Linked DNA regions of Oreochromis niloticus. The protein of the gene in region 1 purifies or fractionates together with the protein of each later gene. This does not show direct contact. Links are inferred from orthologs where the notes say so. Each region holds a gene or a part of one and is shown on either strand. Other genes may lie near its edges.

Region 1 (7,351 bases):
GCTGTCAGAGTGGGTCGATCGTGGCTCCAGATCAGATGTGAAGGGGATGAAGGTGGACTCTGAGGAAAGCATGCTACTGTTGAGTTTGTCCTCACCTGTCTGCACATCCTCCAAATAAATTTGCTCCTCGCTCAGCCTTGGGCGACATACTATGGGCAGCGACGGATTGGAAGAGTCAGAGCTCACCCAGGTGTTAAACCGAACAACTGGCTCTACAGGAAAACAGACAAGTCAACGATTAGTACTACAACCTAATTCAAATACATGATTCTCACTGGTCCTGGACCAGGACGAGGAAAGCAGCCCTCTTACCTGTCTGCGGGACTGATGGAACAGCTGGTCCAGGTACAGTGATCTTCTTCAACTCTCTGGCTCCCCCTTGAGGAACTGTATGTGAAGGACTGTGACTCTCCACATCGAGCTGAGTTGGACGAGGAGGACTGCAACAGCCTCCCCGGGTCTCCTCCAGCAGTTGTCTCTGATGAAACCTGAGACAGTTATGAAGGATTAAGAATGTGTGTGCTACCATGACCAAGAAGTGGATATTGGGTAATGATTTTTTTCCTTGCAGTTTATCTATATTAAGATTTCAACCTCTGTTTACTGAGAATCTTCTCCAATTTGGCATCCTCAGCTGTCTCCAGGGCAGGTGATGCCGTCACAGGGCAGACAGTGGCCAGGTACTGAACCAGCTGAACGTGCTGTCCTGGTCGATACGAGCGACCTTTGCCCTGACTGTAGAGCCACTCGGCTTTCAGACTGTAAATTTAACAATAACACACAGCAAAAAAGAAAAAAAAAAGACATTCAGGCATTCTGATAATGCTTTTGTACCGATGATATTAAGCATAAGAATATACACACCCCTCTTTCTGTGTCACTACATAGCCATCTAGGACCTTCAGGCTCAGGCACCAACTCATGACATATGGCCGATAGTCGAAACCAGGCAGAGATGGGGTCGCCATAACACAAGGGTTGCTCATAATGGACAGCTGCTCCAGCTCATGAAGTGGCGCCAGGTATGACATCTGGGGTAATCAGTTTATAGTCAGAGTAATATTAGGTCATTTTAATATAACCAGTGTGGCTGTATTAAATAAGGGGGAACATAATTACTTCATTAAGATCCCTAATCTCATTTTCTGCCAGGGAGAGAATGGATAATTGAGCAGGAAGGTGAGCGGGGACAGTTCGAAGTGTTGTGATGCTGTTTCCGTGAAGTAACAGAGTCTGCAACATTGACAGAAAATGATACCATCAAGAAAATCAACAATACCATTAATAAAGAGCTAGTTTGAGCACAAATTCAGAGGTCTCAGCACACTGACCTTTAGTGCTACCAGTTTGGTCAGATCACCAATGGCAGATATGTTATTGTCAGACAGATCCAGGTGTTGAAGGGAGACACAGTTGTTAAGTTGCTCAATGACCTGTGTGAAAGATTGCACAGTGGATTAAATATTTGTCATTATACATGGACTGTTTGCTGTCAGTAAATTACAGGATCTGTATAAAGGATGTTAAAATATCTCATGTCCTCACCTTAATATTGTTGCCAGACAGGTTGAGCCACTTTAGGTGAGGCAGATCTCTCAGCCCCTCAATGTAGCCTATACTGTTATTGGGAAGATTTAGGACTCTCAACTCTGTCAGCCGAGACACACCCATCATTCTCACCAGACGATTACTGGCTACAGACAGCTAAAGAGGAAAAAGAAAGAAAAGACATCAAATCATGAACTGGTGTGTTGTATCTGGACTCTAATGGTTGGGAAGATAATGTAGATAAATTTAAACTAAAGAGTTTGTTACCTGCTGAAGACCTGGACTCCTTTCTAGGTGGTCCAGCTTCATGATGTTGTTCCCGTCCAGGATGAGAGTGTGAGTGTCCTCTGAGCAGGTGAAACTGGGCTCCAACTTCTGCATACCTCGGGCCGAAAGATCCACCACAGGTCCTGGCAGGATAAAGAGATTCAACAGACTTAAAAAGCATAACGTGGGTCTTGGTTTTCCATAAAGATATCTTGTACCAAATCTTGTGAAATCAGTCAAGCGCACATTAAGTATATCTCATAAGTCAACAGCATTGGGCTTATCTTGAACCTGAACTTTTCTCCAAAATCACCCAACTTTATGTCAGTTTTAGTACCCCTCTTGTACTCCACTGCAGAGTGGTGATGGGTTAATTATGGGTTACACAGACTACTATAATAGCTTATGAATGGGTATAGAACTGTAATAATTAGCCATCTACAATGCAAAAAAAAAAGATTAGTTACATTTTCTGGCAGGTCCCCTGAATTGGTTTAAATAATCTGCTATTGATTACTGCCATTGGAAGGCTAACAAGGTCGAGAAACAATCAAGCCTCTGCCCAGTGCGCATTTCGTGCCAGTCTGTCAACACCTGCAGAACCTAAATCTGTCCCAGACAGACTGTTTTCATGTTTAAGGTTTCGGAAAACTTTGCTAAAATCTAATTTACAAATATGCCAGAAAGGGACTGACGCAGGATGTTTTAATGCTCGTGTAAGGTGAACTAGCTAACGGCAGCACTCTGTAGTGCTCTCCCGTTAACCTCCGCCGGTGATAAACATCTTCCTATCGGCTACCTTTCAAATGAATGTTAATATGTTTGACTAAAATAACTGACCGACAACTTACCAGCATTTCTATCAAACTGTAAATCTGATACACCCATCCTATCGACCCGGACCACAGCTAGCGTTAGCTGCTGTGTACTGTAGTGGGAAAGACAAGAAGCGTCTGTGTGTTGTCAAACTGCGTAATCGAGGGGCTCTGGGAATTGTAGTTCATAAAGGATGTCTCGTCCCTTGCAACGTTGTGTCTATGGAAGTCGAAAAGACTACAATTATCCTACAGCGCGCTAATGTTGCTGAAACGCGCCAGCCAGGTTTAAGCAAAGAATAAAGAAGCAAACCATTAACGTTAATAGGAAAAATGCGTCTGAAGTGACCATAGCCATCTTATATTTCATTTTAGAGTGTTTAAAACACTGCTGTTCTGTATTATTAAGACAAGAGCAGCTAGCTCATTGCTTGCTAGGCAACCGTCAAAATGTGACGTCACCATTGTGCTGCTGGTCAATGTATAAATTTGACTAATATATTTTTGTAATAGAAAAAAATAATTCGTATAGGCTCACTGATTTTAAAGCATTACTCAAACTTTAACGGTTAGATTTTTTTAATTTGTTCACAAATATCAATCTTGTAGTCAGTAAATTCCGTTTCCGCATCCGTCATCTTTCTTTCCGGTTTTGTGCCCTCTCGTAGCCATCATGAAGTGAGTGTATGCAATGCTATCAAATGCCATCTCAGTATTTAAATAAATACTTTAAGGGTGATAAGTACGTTAAAAGAAACTATGTACGCTTCTCTTTCGCTGATGATCTGTATTTGTCGTTTTCAGGGTCGAGTTGTGCAGTTTCAGCGGGTATAAAATATACCCCGGCCATGGCCGCCGATACGCCAGGATAGACGGGAAGGTAACTAGCTGGCAAAGTCCGACACCGGTTTCTTCTCGCTCTGTCCCAAAATTATTTTTATGAATATCACTTTACCGGCTCAGCGTTAAATATCCCCTGTGAATGTGCTATAAAATTTGTCTACTGTAAGATACTCACAACGGGCCCAATTGAGTCCTGTAAAACCCGCTAATGTTAGCAGCTAAACGATAGCATTTTTAGGTTCAGCCACACGGGTGTATTTGACTGCGATAGAAAGCAGTCATAGACACCTACAGGCTCTGTTGACTGCCAATTGTTCTGAAAAGAGCCTACAGGGGTTTTAGATAAAGTGCCATTTATTTGTGTAAGTACATCCAGAAGAAAACATAAGATGCATTAGGATGTAGCCTCACTCAGAATGTGGCTCTGTCCTGAGCTGTTGCCTACTACTTAAAATTAATGCAGTTAAATTTCGTTATGTATCAAGTTTATGATACATGTGAACAGTTCCACAATGCAACATGCGCTTTAGATTCAGTTTTTGTCACATATAACAGACTGCTGTCAGCATCCAAAGTCAGTTTGTAGCTGAGGTGGATGCGTACAGGGTGTAATTGTCATAATTAAAGGCAGACATGAGTAACATTCGGTTATTTTTTTTGTGCTCTTGTTAGGTGTTCCAGTTTTTGAACGCCAAGTGCGAGTCTGCCTTCCTGGCCAAGAGGAACCCCAGACAGATCAACTGGACTGTGCTGTACAGACGCAAGCACAAGAAGGGCCAGTCTGTAAGTAAAATCCTGTATATGAGTTCATCATTTGTATTTGTTTACAAGGAGACTGAAGTGAAAATATAGCTACTATTTTTCCATGGCAGACAGACTTTGTGGGTCCAGCAGTTAATTGCTGTGTTGATATTGGTCATTTGTGAAACTCACAAACTAATCTTAGCTATCAGATACAAAAGTTGATTGTCACATTTACTCAAGCTCCAATTTATACATCAGACTGGCTGCGGGTGGATGGTGTGCACGGTGTTGGTCCGTGTTACGTGTTGTTGCTCGACTGTGTTTTGCAGACTGAGCAGCAGCGCTCACTCCACACCTGCAGCCACAGAATATCTGGAGATCATAGTACTGGCCTTTGACGTCTTCGCAGACATATTATCATCGGTCAGCCTCCAAACTCTCCGACATGCTGACAGTTGCTACCTGTGGATGGATTGTGTGTAGTCCTGTTAAAGTAGTTCAAGGATTTGGTGTTAGCTTTGTGAAATTTAAAGCCAAACATAAGAAATCTGTTTCTGTTTACAATATCCTGAGTTATTCAAACTTAGGTTACTCACCATTGCTGTAGCATGACAAAGTATTTTCCTCAATTTATCTTAGGTTTTTAGATTTTCATGGTTACAGCTATTGACTGTTACGGTTCCTATGGATGGTGATGCATCAGAAAACACGCAAAACTGACTTGTTGGATGGCTGGACACATGCTTTAACACTGATTTGTCATGCCTTAGAGGGCAGTTCGAGAAAATTGGTTAATAACTGTTCATTTATGACTGCAACCACCACTTTGGAGGTGTAGACTAGAGTAAATATGTAGACACATTTCCTTTCAGATAGATTAGCCACTCATTTCTTTGTGATTAACAGGTTTGTCTTCTATTCTTTTTCATTCTTCATGAAAAACCATCATTATTTTTTAAGTAAACCAATGTATTACATTTTTTTTTAACAGGAAGAGGTGGCAAAGAAGCGTACCCGCCGCGCAGTGAAATTCACGAGGGCCATCACTGGCGCCTCCCTGGCTGAGATCATGGCCAAGAGGAACCAGAAGCCTGAGGTCCGCAAGGCCCAGAGGGAGCAGGCCATCAGGTAAGAGGACAAAGTACCCTGTGTACCTCTTTTTCTTTTTCTTTGTCTTTTTTTTTTTTTTTTTGTCTTGTGATCTTGAAGTTGATAAAATTGTGTCAGAGTATTATTCGGAGTAAAGAAGGGTTGGATTAGAATCCAGTGTAGATGATATTGGCTGACTGGCCCAGAGGTTGCATTGGGCATTTTATTGGTTTCATATTTTTAAGAATGAGATTTATTTGTGTTAGTTTTCATTAAAACAACTAGAATTTAATAAAACAGGAGAGAGTGCCTTTATGAGGGCATTGAGGGAGAAACGCTGACTGCAGGGACTTTTCATAGTAACACAGCAAGAAACAAATGATTTTATTTGTTTCCCCCTGCAGACTTAGCTGATACACAAACGCAGCAGTCAAATATAATCTGAGTGAACATAAACCTGGGGCTTGCTTCAGCATAATTAAAATAAAGTGAATTACAGGATGTTGCAGCACTTCCTGATTTAATTTCATTCTGCAGACTGAGCCCTCTCTCTGCTGCTGCACTAGACACTGAAATTCCTGAAATTCATTATTTCAGGATTAGTTTTATCGTAAAAAGAACACATCTAACATTACCGAGTGATATTAGCAAAAGTCTCTGAATGCCGACGCTTCTGGTTCTTTAAACACTCACCGAACAGTCAGAAAACCCCCAGGTTGAACTCCTGCATGAGGGAACAGCTGCACCTATGACCCTGAGCTGATCACAGACATGCTGGATTTAAGCTTAATGTTATTAAACACAAGAAAATACGGATGCTGCCACCATCTTTAGATTGTTGTTTTTTTTTAATGTTGTTGGTATTCTAGTCCAGTCTTTAAGCCTTTAGATTTGTAACATTTAATCAGTGCTTGGAAATATTCAGTAAAAACAGCTTCTGATCAGCCTGTCAGTGTAATCAGTCACTATTTAAAATGGGCTGTAAATAATTACTACAGTGAACACTTTCATAGCACTTCAAGTTCACTTTCCAGTCATAATAAAATACAATTATAAAGCACGTTTCTCACAGTGAGTGGTGCAAAAAGGGCTGAGGTCATGAGCAACCAATATTCAAGTTAAAAATAAAGTATTCAAATACATACATTAAAAAAATTATATAAAGAAATTTGTTATTTTATTTTATTTTTTTGGTCACTTTGATTAGTTTGGACTAAATTTGGTTCTCTTTGTTGTCTCAGAGCTGCCAAGGAGGCCAAGAAGGCAAAGCAGGCTGCCAAGAAGCCCGCTGCACCACCTGCAAAGGTAAGAGCCGGTGCTCTGTATTGAAGTTATTTAATCATTATTATTCAATAAGATGTCAAACCAAGTTTTTAGTTTCCCACTGCTTGCTCTTCAGGCTTCACTCAATTATTCAGCAACTTAATTCAAAGTTTTTCGTTGTACAAGACCTTACTTGATTTTCTTCTCCTGTAGGCCGCTGCTAAGGCTGCACAGAAACCCAAGATCGCCAAGCCCATGAAGGTCAGCGCACCTCGCGTCGGTGGAAAACGCTAAACCTGACTCGCTGTTTATGGTTGTGAATAAAAATTTTGGTTAACCAACATTTATGCTCTGATTTGTGTATTTATTTGACAACTTTACTGAACCCCAGGCAGCCCAATGTTTATGTATTTAAATTTATTTTTGTGACACGGAGCCTCATTTCCAAGTTCCATGAATTACAGTATTTGAATATTTTGTTTCAACATGACGGGACCATCATAGTGTCGTGGACAAATTCTTTTGGTGTTGTGGCAGGAAGGACATTCAGCATTAACTGGGTGACCCCTGGGAAATAACTGGACAGCTGAATGTAGCTTGTGGTGTCAGGATGGTGCTAAACCTTTTACCCCAGCAGCCAGGTTAACCTGTAACAGGAAAGACATAGGTGTAAGTACAAATAGCAGTAATGATCTCATTAGGTTTAGTGGTGCATAATTGGAACAGAGCTATTGTCAGTACTACCACTGTTCCTGCTTCATTTCAAACAATCTTTTCAGTTA
Region 2 (7,517 bases), on another chromosome or scaffold:
TTGTTCAGGTGATATTCGGCTATTCTGCAGTTGGGCAAGAAAAACATGCCACATGAACTTAGATCAGGCAATCTTGGAAAAATAAACGCAGCTTCATCTGACAAACAACATCTGTATGATTTACCTTGTTAAAGCAAAATGTTTTGGTAGTTTTTGTGCATTAACTTCTGAGGAAGCGCAGAAATCAGACTTCTTACTACACTGGTAGTTTTCTTCCACTTCCGCGGAAGAAAATGAATGGATGGTAGTTTTAGAAATTACATTTTTAAGTATAACTTTAAAGGTTTCAGACAATTCTTACATTGCAAGGCGTAAAACGTGAAGTTTTACATAATGCAACCACACCAAATTTATATTGTGACCACATAATAAGAACAATAAAGAAAAAATATATAAAATATAGTTACAAATTGCTTTACAAAACATGATAAATATATAAAAACAAAGAGGCAACAAATTAAAACAAGGCATAAAATCTGAACATGCTGTGTGAATAACAGGTGAATAAACACAACGAAAAGAAGTAAATCAAAGAAATAATAAAGGGGCAGTAAAAATAGATTTACTATGAAAAGTATTGAGTAGTGATTTCAAAGTACTGAGTTTGCTAACCTCAGTTGCTATGGTAACAGAAAACACTCAAACACCTATGTAATGAGGTGTATTGTGGGAACAGAATGATCTGACCTGACAAACGCAGCCAGTCGCTCAATTAACACCAACCAACTAAATCTACAGTGCGGGTAGGATGAGCCCATGCAAGGTTTTAAAAGTAACAATAAATACAACTTTAAAAAAAGCTTCAAATCAGCTCAACTTTAAATCACTTTGTCTTGTCTCTGTGAATTTGTTTTGAATGAGGTGAAGGCAGGTGACTGAATTTTGTCTGAGACCCGAGTAGAGTGGATTACAATAGTTCAAACGTGATGAGACGAAGGCAAGGATGACTCCTCCGAGGCCCGCTTGAAATGGAAAATGTGAAAAAGCATGACAGTACCACTTTGGTGATTTGTGTGTTAAAACAAAGCTCTGACCGAAGTTTGTTTGATGGACGAGGACGGGTTTTCAAAATTTTCCTTTAAGTTAGAGGTCAGGTTTGGGGTGTGGGGGGAGCACTGAACCAAAGGCCTTCAGAATTGAAATCACTGAGCTGAAAGAAGTTTTGTGACAACCGTCAGATAACATCAGAAACATGAGCCATACACAGCAGGTTTCATCCCATCTTGTCAATAAAGCTGGCTGTACGTTTGTGTCAGAAGGGATAATTTTTTAATCAATTAAACTACATGTTTTAATTATTATTTTAGTTAATTTACCTTTTTTTTTTTAGTGGTGAGATGAACATATCAAACAGTAAATGAAGTGCAGTCTAAACTGAGCTAAACATCTGCATGCCAGGGTGGACCCCTGTGGGTTAGGTTGGTGATTCTGAATTGGCCATGGATGTGAGGAAGGCCCACAGTGTTTTTAAGCTTTTCTTGTACTGTAAAGTATATTTGTACATTGCTTATAAAACTAACCACACCTGCGAGCACTATTTGGGGATTGTGCTCACTTGCCATTTTGCCCCTTTTAGTAAATTTGGCCCTATGAGTGGTCAGTCAGGCTAGAAAAGTGCTATGTAAAGGCGTGCATTTCACAGTCCATACCCTGTGCGCATGAAAGCAAGAGAGAGGCTGGGTTTTAGCTGTTGTGCTTTCTTGGCGTCATCAGCAGCACCTGTGGACATAAAACAAAAGTAAAAAATTACTATGTTTCTTTATGCAGTGCATATATCCAGGCTGAGTCACATGCAGTGTAAAACCTCAAAAGCTAAACAACACGTATTTGTAATGCGCACATAATGTTCATGCACTTAATAATGCATCAAAAATACAATTAGTGTGGTCTGTTTCCACATGTGCTATGCAGACTTACAGCTGTAGTTCTTGAGCAGTATGTGGGCATAGGCACGCTGACAAAACCACTCAGCGTTGTCTGAGTCTCCTTGTAAGGCCTCGTTAAGCTCCTGAAAATAATAACGAGGTGGCTATTATTGTATAAAGGGCTTAAAATCGTGTTTTCAGCTTCAAGAATTGTGGCAGGAAAGAAACTTCTAGAAAAATGCTTAAATCGAAAGTAGAGCTGTTATGCATCTGCAACTTTCACTTTCGCAGTCGGATATCGTTATAGAAGAATCAGCTCTCTGTAAATCTATTTGAATCTGTGTTATTCCTGCAAATCAAACTGTAATGATTTTCATAATACTGCCCCGGTTAGTCACATAAATAACCGCAGATTCACCAGAGGCTTTTTAAACAGCAGAAATAAACTTCACTGGTTAAGTCTGTTGACAGTTAACAACTTCATGTCAGGATGACAGGGCTAGTATCCAGCAGCAGACTATTTCGAGCTAACGTTATGTAGTAATACCTCCTCACGCATGAGACATATTTAATTCTTAATGGTATTAAAGAAACAGGTGACCGTTTGATATGATAACGAAGCGATTCTGGGATTACTTTTATTCATAACTAAATAGGGCTAGCAAACATGTTGGCTAACTTCGCTAGCTTGTTGGTAATATCTGAAACACAAACACCACAGGTATTACTCAATTTCCTTTCTAGAGTAAGTCCACTGAATTTAAAGTTAAATGGACATCCTGCAAGAGCCACCGTGCATCGCACAAACTTGTTTGTGGCTAGCTGAGGCTAGTGTTTTACCTGCAGAGCTTTCTGTGGATCTTCGTCAATGAAGCTATCGGGGAAGCTGCTAAAAGCAACAAAAAAAAGCAAGTTAGCGTTAAATAACTGAAAGAAAAGAAATGTCTGCTGCTATAAGAACAGTTCATTGATAGATTTAGATGAACTTACCGTTCGGTTGCCATCTGCTTCTGTGGATGTGCACAGTGTTTCTGGAGTGACAGGAAAGTTCTAGATGTGGAGACTACGAGAAACGTGATAGCGGTAACAGTTACAGCTCAAACACAGCAGAGAGCCTGTCAACATCCGGCTGCGCGCAGCTCATACTGCCTCTACTCCCCCTAACGGCCCGGAGGAGTTATCGCTAACTTTTTTTTTTTAAGGAGACGATTTTCTGGACAGAGAATTAGGCGGCAGATTTGTCAAAGAATAGAAACGTTTAAATTGAAACTGGATACGGTCACCCACCAACAAATGTATAATACCATTAATGAAAATAAAAATGGGGGCTGATAGAATATAAACACAAACAATTTGTACTCCCCCAGACGGTCAGGAAACATAAATGATACAATATATCCGAGAATTACGGAGACATGGCTTATTTCAGTCAGACTTCAGTCAGACTTCCTGTCAGAGCTATGGTACAATGGACCTATTATGTTAGCACAAAAATGTCCAATGATTCATTGTGAGGATGAAATGCTCCAACATCAGCTGGATCTGTAATCAGACAGAGAACAACGGAAATAAGACAGCGAATCGGCTGTGGGGTGTAATGTTGACTGTAGTCGACAAATTTGTGTTGCACGTCTCTTTAAGGAAATAATGCGGGATGGTAAAAGACATCCATTCTAGGTAGTCGTGTACATTATTAATGTTCACATCTGGAGAACAAGAGGTAAAGTAGCTATTTGAAGAAAAGATAACTAACAGTGACGCTGCATGTGTTTAAAAATATTGTTGCTGATCTCAGGAGGAGGAAAACTTTTGGACTGAAGAATAATCCTCTTCCCTGGGACATATTTAGTGTTATCTATCCTTGTACATGCTGTATGTATGTGTAACATGTAACATCCTGTTGAATTCAGTTGCGTATGTCCACAAAGAGCAGCAGGTCAGCTGACCACAGCCGGTACACTAAGAAAATCTGCTGGAGCTCACAGAAGAAATTATTGCGAGTTCTCATTCTTTTCCCCACACTGAGCCTCTACAGTGGATTTTGGGGTTTCCCCATGTGCAGAATCAACTTTAACCCCTGACTGTACACATTTTCTTGTTTAGAGGAAAAGTCACCCTCTACACTGTAGGCAACACAAAATAAACTTCTTTTTCTATGTTCATGTTCTGCATACTTGATTCAAGTTGAATACATTCATTAGAAATAAAATTTAGATCAGAAATTATATAATAAAGACTGCATTGCTATGTACTACTGTCATTTTATTATATTACTATAGCTCAGTTAGCTTTGCACAAAAATAGCTGGTATAGAAAGGCCCTCCAAAGAGCTACTTTACTGTGAGTACGTTTCAGAGCCTGTAGTTTTCACTTTTACTTGAGTAAAGAAGTCGAATCAGTACTTTAACTTTTACCAGAGCACTTTTTAACAGAGGTATCTGCACTTCTGCCACCTCAGATTAGCACCACTGGTATGTTAAAAAGACTGGTGGTCGCCATTGCTACCCCTCAGCCACCTACAAGCTCCTCAATGGTATCAATTTGAAAAGCCTATGTGACATTTTTCTTCAGTTACTATGTTCACAAGATTTTCACAGAGCTTGACCTCTGACAAGGTAACAGAGATGCAAACTTGTCCATGATTTTTAGTAAATGCAGCTATGGTATCAGCTGGAAAAACCTACATCAGCTTGTTTGTGAGTTATCACGATGACAGGACGGGTTAGTGTTAATGTGGTAAGCCAAAAAACAACTTCACCAAATCAAAAATAGAATTAACACCTTTCTGACAACAGCAAAAAAAGAAAAACTGATCGTGTCAGAATTCTGTAGAAGTAGTTCTGGCAGATCTGTATCACTGCATTAGGCCTTTACTGATAAAGCAGCAGTTGAATGCACTGCTCAAATGCGACATATACACTCACCAAGCTACGTCTACTGATGCTCCAAGTCTTCCAAAGGAACAATGATGGATTTCACACAATGACAAATGTAAATTTATTTCATATAATAGACGATTAGCTTTAACATCACTGGACTGCATGAAAGCAAACACAACACAGCATTAAAAAAAAACAAAAACAAAAAAAACAAGCTCCACCTCTCCCTCTACTACAAGCTTACAAATCTATTAAGGTAAGACATTCCCAAGACACATACTGAAGAGCAAGGGGCAAAAAAACACCAAAACAAACAAACAAACATGTTATAACAAAGTGAAAATAGTTCTGCATAAGAGTTCCCTGCAGGCACAGTTACTGCATAAGCATCTCTTTGCCAAGTTTAGCCTCTCAAAAAGCCAGCCTAACTATTCAGTCATATTTTTTTTTTAAATTTGGAGTGAGGTGAAGTTTGTAAGCCGGCTTCGTGAGCCTACGCTAAGACCGGGCGAAGAGAAAATAATAAACTAACAATTTCACTTTTACTTCTTGCATAGAGTACATAATATGTGCAGCACAAAAATGCTTTATAAACCTGAGGGAAGGAAAAAAAAAATGGCATCAAAAGAACAAGCTTTCACAGGCATACAGTACACAAAGATCAGCCAAAACATTAAAACCACCAGCCTGGTAATATGTAGGTCTGCTTTGTGCAGCGATGCCGCTGCTGGCGCCTTCTGCAATGCTGAGCTTGATGCTAAACCCACGTGAACGCCAGCCAAACATTGCATTGCACTGTAACGAAATGACCAGTGTTCACTTCAGCCAACACAGTGGTTTTAATGTTGAGGCCCTACGGTGCGTAATAGACGCATACAGATAGAGGATTCAGAGTTTAATATATGCACTCATATATGGATAGCTAGTGCACAAGAGAAAAGATAAATAGTAGCACTATAATTTTACAGGAGGCAGGGTGGCTACAAGGCCACTTCACTGGTGATTGTCACGAAGAAAATAGAAAAAAAGAGTCCCATGGTGTAGATAAACAAATAATAAACAGCGCAAGTGCTAAAATACTACTTTGAAAAAATAACAGTGATCCCTTGTTTTGCAGCAATCTTAAAAAACAACAACAACAACAATAATAATAATAATAATAACAATAACAATATGGAATGTTTTCCCTTATGATTACCAGGAATAGGATGGACTGACATCTTCAGGCACTTCAGAAGAAATATACAGCAGAGGTAAACATTAGTGCAAAGCCACTTTTAAGGCAAAGGAATGCTTCAGGACGTGATAGCATGAAGACACAAAACTAAACAACGTAGGAGAAAGTGAGAGCAAAAAGCAGAGAAGAAGGGCACAGTGTGGTGATAAGATAATTGCTTCCAGGACACTGGAGCTGAAGTGCAAGCAGAGAAAGCGTCTGCAGGCAGTGCAGAGAGGCCAGAGATTCCAGTGCATGTCTGTCTTTGGTGTTGGTTTAACAAAGGGCTACACAGAATGACAATAAGGCGAAATGATCAGATTTCAAAGCTGAGAAGGTAAACTGCTGTGAGATTTTGGTTCCTGTCAGCGCTGTGACAAAAGCACTGATCTGTACTTATGATCTAAAATAATATTCTACACCAAAAGTCCTTGTTTTTAAATCAGCATTGTCATAGCAAAGTGCAGCCCTGTAAGTGGTCCTGAGTCGGTGGAGTGTACAGGCATCTGTGTGTTCGATAGAAAGTGGGCACCTGTTATTTTTATTGGTCAGAGCTAATCAGAGACATGAGCTGTGGAGTTTTTGGTCCTGGGTGCGACTTTTTCTCGGACATCTCCGGCACACCTTTTCTCCCTATGGCCACCTCGGCAGCAGCCTGTCGCTCGCACAGACTCCCCAGCAGCTGAGCCGTTTTGAAGACTGAGGCATGACCGGCGGGTTTCAGAGACTGGACCTTTTGCAGGTTCTGGAGCGTGCGTAGCATCTCAGCTGACACGATAGGCAGATGCTGTTCCTGGATCAAACTGGAGCTGGTGGGACGCAGGACGGTGTCGCGCTGAGCTGAGGGCCTGGGAGCGGGCCTGGTGCGCTGTGAAGCGGGAGCGCGGCCGGAGATGGGGGACGATTTCTTTGGCGGTGGCTGAGAATCTTCCTGCTCCTCCGCTGAATGGTCACTAGACGATATGGTACTGTCAGAGTCGTCGCTCATGCCTTCGTCGTTGACGCTGTTGTCGTCGTGGTCCTCGTCGTCTTCCTCTTTGATGCCATCTCCGTCGGTGATGTAAATCATGTCTTTGGGGAGAGAGGTGAACTGGTAAACGAGGCGCTGGCCTTCAACCTTATTCAGTATGCCTCTCTGGTAGTAGTACCTGCATGGAAAAAGCAGAAATTGACAGCTTTCAAACCTGCTACAGTTTTCAATCATTCACATCTCATTTGTAAAATCTAAAATAAAAATGACAAAAAAAACATTTTTTTTTTGTCATCGATAAAGAGTCAAAAATATATTTTTGACTCTTTCTTGGTGTACTATGATTAGGTTCCATACCTGCCCCTTTCTTACTAACCTAGATTGGATAAATTCTTGCATTTATATACAAGTTAAATGAGTTAAACTGCTTTAAAAATTAAAAAAAAGGTTAAATTAGTACTGACAAGCAGCATCAAACTTGAGTAGACTGTACAGTAAGCTTCCATTTGATTTTATTCAGCTCTACTATTTATTAAACCTCCTGTCGTAAAAACAAGAAAACACAAATATTTTGAAATCTGCCAAAA
Region 3 (7,983 bases), on another chromosome or scaffold:
GCTCGCCGACACAGAGCCACGAACCCCTGTCGTCTCGACGAGGACTCGTCTCCTGGCTCGCTGCACTCCACCTGCTGCTCAAGGAGAAAGGGATCTGACAAAAACCTCAGCGGTGGATAAAAGCCTCAGCTTTATGCTCAGTCATAACCCCCCCACCCCCACCCCACCCCCAGTAGGACTCCAGTGTAAGAGATGACCGTGACCGATCACTGAAACCCTTCCAGCTCCTGGGATGTTTTTCTGCAGCTGACTTCTGTGCCAAAGACACTTTCCCCAGGATCAATACCATTTTTTTTTTTAACACTACAGTCAGCCTCCTCCTGCCCACCTCTTCCTCAGCTCCGCGGCAGGTGCTATGTAAGGCAGTGTGCTACCGCAGCCAGGGTATCTGGGTTAACAGATCTGGGAGTAGCTCAGGCTGACCGGGTCTGTGTGTGTGGAGGAGACAGACATCTCCTTCCCTCGCGCTCTCGCTTACGTAACAGCAGCCTGTGGGCGTCTGCCTCCCAGTCTTTCACTCGACTCGACTCTAAAAGACTAATAATCGCAGGCTGCAAATATACACACTGAGCGGGACAACAGAGCATCTTTTATAGGGAAACAGAGAAGTTTATAGCCTGTCGATTTCAAAAGCACCACCTATGGGGAGCACCGCTAGAGAGAGGAAACGCAGAGGCTCAGCTTTTGGGGCACAAATTCTCACAACAACAAACTCCCATTTGGGAGCGAATAAACATTTTCCAGCCAGATCGGCATGACTGTGAGGAACACAAAGTGGCACAACTTGCTGAATTTGTGTGCTTTTAAAAACACGTTAGACTTGAAAACCTATGACTTTAGCGTTAACTCGTAATTAAACAGTAACAGCAAGAAAAGTAGCATTTCAAAGTAGATATTAGTGCCAATTATATTGATCTACTCATCACATTAAGCACAATTCAAAACTTGATACTGTCACACAAGACAAAACACAGCTAATCATTTTAGCTTTAAGTAACTCCCAGTATGCAAAACGCGTGACAGAGTATTCCATCTCACTAGTTGGATCTTCTGCTGAATCCTATCATAGATCATTTCTTTCTTCCTCAAGTGAAAAAACACCCGCAGAGTCCTGCTCCAATAAATCACTTCATTCCCCCTCATGTGTTTACGTCCCCCCACCCTGGACGTCAGCACTCAGAGTCATACCAGCGGGTGCTCCATGATGACAAACTATTGATTTTCAGACTGGCAATGCATGCAAAGACGGGGCGGGAGCCTGTTTATGAGAGCCTTTATCAGGCTGAGAGCTCCACCAGGGATGCATAATTATCTAACGTGCAGCAGGTGCTATTAAGCCAGATGCTTTACGTGCACACACGCTATGCTTTTAGACGGCTGGACACACTGTCATTTCGTGTGTGTGTGGGGCCCAGTTGGCTTTGGCACTGACTCCAGTGCTGCCATGTTGTTGGCAAGCGCAGCTGGGAGGCCGACTGCAGAGACAGAAGCCATTACAACGGAGGTTTTCCACAACTGAAATGTAAACACTCTGCACAGGCACTCTTAATGCATGGAGATAACAAGGTCAAGGCTGCTAATTCAAGGAAACAGAACATTAGGCCACCTCTACCTGCAAAATTACATAATTAAAAACTGGTTTAAGCTTCATCAGTGGATGTGAACTGTAGCTGTAAGCTCTCTTTGCACTTGTGATGGAGGAGAGGCAGGACTTTGACTGGAAATGAAGGGAAAAGAAAGGAAAGAGATCACCTGCACTTAACTTGATGATGAAAACTGTTAACAGCAGCAGGTCTAGTAAAGTTAGACACATGATATCCGTGATTTTGTGTTTAAATGGTTGTGAAGTCAGCCGAAAGAGTGCATGTAATTAATGAGTAACAGCATGAAGTAGTCACCTCCGTGCTCCACTTTTTGAGCAGCAATTCTAGCGGTCTGCAGACGCTTTGCATACGCACAGAGGTGAGCGGAGGCTGCAGAGCTGAGGCTTTCAGCACACAGGCTCTGGTTAATATTAATGACAGTGGTAACAGCCTCGGTGTAGTCACTGTGTACTGTTCACACATGGCCTCTGAGTCACTACGATAGCCCCGTGTGGCGTGAACACTGCAGTGTTATTAGCCATCGGACAGACAGCCTGACAGGCGACCGATCCTTCAAAACAAGCCCTAAAAGAGCCGCACTTACCGGCTTAGCTGGGATTCTTTCACGCGATAAAACGATACCGGGTCCCTGTCAGCGCCAGACAAAGCCCTCGTAGCACCTTCCAGAAAGGCTAGCCCTGGCCAGCCTGCTAGCGGCTCATTAGCACGGCTATCTGACGGCACCAAGGCAACACGGGCGGGCTATCGTTAGCTAGGAGACTCGTTTATCACATCCAGCCCACAGCAGGCTGTTTATCAGCTCCCTGCGGTCCTCCCCAGTCTCTGTCGGTGTATCTAATTAAAGCCTGAGGAGCCGTAAACACTGCGGCTACTGTCAAGCCCTGTGTGTGCCGCCCTAGCAGCAGCAGTAGCTTTAGACCGCGGACAGCCACAGACCCCCGGCTCGTCCCTCCAGCTCCGCTCCCGTCCCGCTGCCCTCACACACGCTCAGAGGAGCCAGCAACGGGCCTGCAGTTTGTTTACCTTCTTGTCAATGCGGACGGTGAAGACATCCCGGTCCCTCAGCGGCTCTTTGCTAAGCACCAGGCCGTGATTGAACTCCTGGACTGGCTGGTTGCGACGGGCGGTTCGGTTCGAGTTGGACAGGCCGATCAGCTTTCCGCTCCGCGGATGCAGCTCCGCCGCCATCTTCAGTGGGCGGCCAGTATTCACGACAGCGAGGCTTTGCGACAGTAACATTATGGCAGCCGGCAGATATGTGGAATCGTTAGCAACCGCACCGCAGGCTTTAATGACTGAAAGCGTGGCGTCATTTTAAAGCCTATATAAACGCTTTGGTTCAGAAGCTAACGCTTCTACATTCACCGTAGCCTCATTGTACACTTTTGATTATTTCTCACTTTATTGGCTCGAGGGCTAAAAACTTTCTACTTTAACTACAGTTAGAGTCACGTTCGTTATCAGTTTGCATTTTATCGCTTTATGTATGTGTTTTTATTATTATATGATTGTCTAGTTAAATATTAATAGGTGTTATTATATTTTTTTATTCTATTTACTGCTAGTTTAACGCTGTCTTGGGAAACAAATGTATATAATGTTTTGAATGAAAATAAATCTATTTATCTGTCTGTGTTGCCCGACCTTTCACATCTTCCAGTTCATTTCAAAGCTGCACATAACATTTTGATGACTTCTTGCAGCGATAAGTGAATACAGACATAATTTTAACTGAAACTGATCTTGAACATTTCATTCATATTTGCTATAGTCTTTCTTCTTTTCTTCTTTTATAATTTAAAGTTGATGAGTAATATTTGTACTTTTTCCGTGTATCTAATTTATGGGATAGATGACGTCATACACAAGGCTCTGATGAATTTAACATTATATTTAATTAACCACTAGAGGGAGCAATTTTCATGTCTAAGATCAGTCACTCGGCGACAGCGAGCGGGTTCTTGTGAGGCATGCGTGAAAAGACTGGCTGAACCTAAGTTGAAAGAATTGAAGAAAATTAGAATTAAAATTTGGCTTTAAAAGACATCGACTACACTCAGTGATGGTAGCCTCGACCATCCAAAGAAGAGCCTTGAATGTCCTTCAGGAAGCCTGGACAACTATTCCTGGAGACTATTAAAAGAAATTACAAAAAAAAAACAACAACAAAAAACTGAAGAAGAATAAACTGAAGAATAAAGGTGTTCATAACAAAATAAGATCTGTTTCATGTGTTTGAGGATTACAATCCTCAAACACATCTTACGCCTCTATTTTGCCTTAAAATATACCAGAAAAATGAATATGTATCAGAAACCACTTTAGGGAAAGTCATATTTTATTCAGCAGCTTGCTGTTGCACGTACCAGGGTCACAAAACTGCTCACATTTATCAGATTTATCTGTATGTTGTGTTAAAAGTGGGAAAGTGGAAGAGACATCTCATAAAATATTAATATTTAGCACTAAATTATTTACACTTTGGAGATTCACTGGTACAAGTATAAAATTCTGACTTAAAACACTTTAGTGCTCATCACTGCAAACACCATGTCTACTCAGCATACCATAAAGTGTAAGCATGCTTTCGTGGTTTAAGCGGGGCAGCTGTGAGAGGAAACGGACACGTGTTTGACGCGCGCCGAATCCAGATCCAAATCCTTCCCTTGGACCTGGATCTTCTCCAGACAGCCTGTCAAGAACTTGGAGCCGACATCGTCGTCATTCTCACCTGAAAAGACAAAATAGATGAAGAAATTGATCGTCTTCACGAGTTACACAGAGCAGATCCTTTTTTTGTGTTGCTGCACAGTGATACAGGATTAGACTGAAATACTTTAAAGCTGCAATCTCACCCAAAAGGCCTCCAATGGCAAGATGACCATCTCTCCAAGCTGATAAATAACTGGTGTTGCTCCCTGCACTGACTGAAAAATCAGCCGATGATTCATCCTCATGTTTAACCACCCTCAGCGAATCCTTCTGAAACTTAATTTGGAGCCTCTTGAAAGTGTTCTTCATGGTGAGCACCTCTTCTCTAGAGGTGAATGTGAAGTCCTGCATGCCAAATGGAAACAGAACTGTGACGTACACTGATCTGTGTGTGTTATTTGCATGAAACAAACATCATTTCTAAGTTAATAATCCTGCTTCGAGGGCAAATACATCTGACTTATGTGGATACCTTTGTGTTATTATCAGCTACCACAGAGAACACGAGCTCCTCCCCATCAGCTTTGATGCTCAAAAGGGTCCCGTCCATCTGGCTGAAATCCCCCCACAGTTCAATACGGACCCCGTGATCTTCATCGATCTGGAAATCTGGGAAAAAAAGAAATGTGTGGATGTGTTGAGTTGGTTAAATAAATACAAATTAACGTGCTGAATCTGATTAGAAGGAGTACTACTTAGAAGTAGGAGAAATATTGCTACCCGAGATGCCATATCATGCATAAATGCAATATCCGGGCCAGCTGGAAAGCTTGTTATTGAATAAAGGAGTGTAAACACTTGCTCGTATCTGGGATAATTTAGCAGAGTGTTCCCACCTGAGGTGTTGAAAATGGCAAATCCTGTGCCAGGGAAGTAGCTGCCAGGTTGGATGTTTTCATAGCAAGGCTGGAGCTCGTCTGCCTCTGCCACCCATGGGACGGTGAGGTTCAGCCAGTTGCCTTTCCGCACACAGCCATCCATTTTGGGATTGAACTAAAGGAAGAGGGCACGAGGTGGATGATTCAGACATGTTCAAGAAGCTATTTTCCAGAGGTCTTGTCCAAGGAGAGGAAAACAGCATCTGGTCTATTTGCAGCTGAAGTGTGGTTTAAAACAAAAGGTGCAAAATACACAAAGTACCTGAACAATCATCTTTTCTTTGCCGATCAGCATCCCGCCAAGGGACAGTCGTAATTTACCGTGAATGACCTCCTCTATCTGCTTGGAATGCATGCCCACCACCAGCCCGCCAGTGCCATCCACCTCCAGAATTACGAACTTGCCCTGGTTGCTCACTTCCATCTTGGTGGCATCAAGAGAACAACAAACGGTACAGTTAGCCAGTTTTAAGATGAGCTGTTATGCTCATTTCGAACATGGTTTTGTTCTCGCGCTCTCAAGGAGCCCTTCATAATTTCTTATACGGAGCCTTTGTGCAGCTCCAGAGTTCTCTCCCTGCCTGAAACCAGCAGTTTTAGCCACTCCCCCTTCAAGGCTACTCCAGCTTTCTTCTGATTGGCTGTCTCTTGCAAACAAACCACGAGCAGCAGATGGGCGGGATTTGTGTGCTCACAGCTGTGTTCCTTATATGACCATAACCATAATAATTTGCATATAAACTGACCTCAATATTTAATATGAACATCCATTACTGTGAGAATATATATATATATATATGAAAATATAGAAAATAAGGAAAAGGATAAGGGGGCGAGTTTTTAAAAAGCATCATAAAGCAGTTCTTTAGCCAATTAGAGTTCAGCAAACTGATTTCCAAGTGATCACTGGATGCTTACTGTGTGCCATTTCCCGTCATTGAGCCTCGGGGTGCCCGCTACGCTGACGAGCACGCCTTCTTTGTTGATCTGCATCAGGGGGACGCCGTCTTTCAGCGACAAAACAAACCAGTCATCCCCGTTTTGTGTGTCTCCGTAGAAAACCAGACCTTCTGGGTCAAATGTCCGGAACTGAAAGGAGGATTTGATGCTGCGTGGCAGAATAAAGATACAGTAAATTGGAGTGAAGGCTGCTCATTGGTGCATTAATAAGACAACCTGCCTTATTTATCTTTGACTGATCTTAGAGAGCTCATGTACGCCTGTTCAGTAAAAACTGAACTTCAAGGTCACGTTTTAATTTGAAATCCCAGAAGAATTGTGTGCACCTTTATGCCCACAGAGGAGCTGCTGTGCAGGCTTAACGGTGCACTGATTTGCTCCATCGCTCACGTACCTGCCGATCTGACTAAGGTTGACCGTTGTGTGGATCAGCGGCCTCCAGTCGTGCGTGTTCTGGCCCAGATAGACGGTAGAACTGCCCGGCACCTCTTTCTGGAAGACACAAGCTTCATCTCGCACTGATCTGACACTTAGGTCGTTACTCACAGCTTTTTATTACACGCAGCTCTCATTTATCGAACTCGGCCTCAGTATTTTACACTCAGAGATCTTCATTGGCTGCTCGTTAAAACCACATTAAACCGAGAGATGAAATTTATTCAGTTATTGATTCGACTTTAAAAAAAAGCTGAACAGAGCAGTGTGCGCAAATTATTAAGTGGTGATGAAGTGCCACATCACTGCATTTCATTGACAAGAGCAACCACACAACATTCACTTGTGGATATGAACCATGTGTATGTAGAACATTTAAGAGGAAAAACAAGTCTTGCTTTTCTTTTTGTGTTAGTAATTTCCAGAAACTGGGACAAAAGTAAAGTATTTCCTCTCTTATCTTAATTATGCCGATGTGTCTGCAAACTGAGCAAACTGAGCAAAGTCTAAGCAAATGATGGGATCCCCCCTCCCCTTTTGATTGGCACATGAGCTGGATACAGTATGAGTTAGCTCAGGACTTTTAGACTTTTATTCTTTAAAACATAACCTATGAGCCAACAAAGTAGATTTTTCTCAAAGAAAAAGATGTATCTAAATGATACATGCAGATATTTCCAATGATCAGGAGCTGTAGCATGTAAGTGTGCAGAAACAATATATGTCACTAGAGTCATCCATGCTTCTGCAGAGAATCAGGGACTTCATTAAAGGCTGAAAAGGTGCATATAGATGATACTTCCTACACACACACACACAGAGTGCACATTTTAATTCTAGGCATTGTGTATCGCAGTAACATACCTTATCACGTCCGTTTCCCTGGCCCTCAGCTCCCCACCCCAGCAAAATAAGGTTCAGAGTGAGCAGCAGTGCACCTGCCATTGCTTTCCAAGTCATCCCGCAGCACATTCACTGACCCAGGCCTCGCAGCGTTCAGTCCCCACAGCTCACGGTTGGTCCGGCTACACTGCGATGCAGATGGAGGTCGAGTTAAGATGAGGAGCAGAGGGATTATGGAAAAGTGTGCAGTGTGCAGTGCGCTGGCGTGTGCTGTCACAACTCCCGGGATCCAGAGGGCATCTCTGGTCAGGGCAAGCTATCGATCCCTGAGGCCGGAAGGCCGCGTTGGTTGAGACCAGTGTTTGCAGAAATGCAGATGGCTGTGGGTGGTGAATGTGAAGTACAGCAGGCAAACAGAAGAAAGAAACTGTGGGGTTAAATAGCACAAAAGGGTCTGTTGCAGTATTAGAAATTAAAAAGTGTGTTTTTATCAGTCCGTCAATCTTCCGCCCTCGTTTCATGTGAGGACACGACTGCAGGCCAGGTGAGTG

The links.
Region 2: the proteins of cep97 (region 1) and sugt1 purify together in Homo sapiens (affinity purification with mass spectrometry; 3 studies listed by BioGRID and IntAct, with this or other methods). This does not show direct contact. The link is inferred for Oreochromis niloticus from reciprocal best matches to the Homo sapiens genes CEP97 and SUGT1.
Region 3: the proteins of cep97 (region 1) and neurl4 purify together in Homo sapiens (affinity purification with western blotting; 4 studies listed by BioGRID and IntAct, with this or other methods). This does not show direct contact. The link is inferred for Oreochromis niloticus from reciprocal best matches to the Homo sapiens genes CEP97 and NEURL4.

What each region holds. Positions count from the first base shown.
Region 1 is NC_031987.2:20,767,968-20,775,318, reverse strand, and holds the start of cep97 (centrosomal protein of 97 kDa), read right to left. Parts: upstream 3,031-7,351; 5' UTR 2,704-3,030; coding exon 2,667-2,703; intron 1,959-2,666; coding exon 1,816-1,958; intron 1,705-1,815; coding exon 1,546-1,704; intron 1,434-1,545; coding exon 1,332-1,433; intron 1,234-1,331; coding exon 1,120-1,233; intron 1,032-1,119; coding exon 865-1,031; intron 760-864; coding exon 595-759; intron 489-594; coding exon 313-488; intron 213-312; coding exon 1-212. Other genes in the region: rpl24 (large ribosomal subunit protein eL24), read left to right, coding at 3,304-3,308, 3,435-3,510, 4,146-4,256, 5,209-5,345, 6,548-6,611, 6,783-6,863. UniProt on the Homo sapiens protein: Acts as a key negative regulator of ciliogenesis in collaboration with CCP110 by capping the mother centriole thereby preventing cilia formation. Required for recruitment of CCP110 to the centrosome.
Region 2 is NC_031982.2:7,942,046-7,949,562, forward strand, and holds the start of sugt1 (protein SGT1 homolog), read right to left. Parts: upstream 3,016-7,517; 5' UTR 2,870-3,015; coding exon 2,856-2,869; intron 2,755-2,855; coding exon 2,706-2,754; intron 2,009-2,705; coding exon 1,918-2,008; intron 1,720-1,917; coding exon 1,650-1,719; intron 25-1,649; coding exon 1-24. Other genes in the region: ETS-related transcription factor Elf-1, read right to left, coding at 6,502-7,108. UniProt on the Homo sapiens protein: May play a role in ubiquitination and subsequent proteasomal degradation of target proteins.
Region 3 is NC_031967.2:17,604,369-17,612,351, forward strand, and holds the start of neurl4 (neuralized-like protein 4), read right to left. Parts: upstream 3,016-7,983; 5' UTR 2,844-3,015; coding exon 2,628-2,843; intron 1-2,627. Other genes in the region: shbg (sex hormone-binding globulin), read right to left, coding at 4,199-4,335, 4,460-4,661, 4,789-4,925, 5,153-5,309, 5,457-5,618, 6,113-6,302, 6,549-6,646, 7,454-7,561. UniProt on the Homo sapiens protein: Promotes CCP110 ubiquitination and proteasome-dependent degradation. By counteracting accumulation of CP110, maintains normal centriolar homeostasis and preventing formation of ectopic microtubular organizing centers.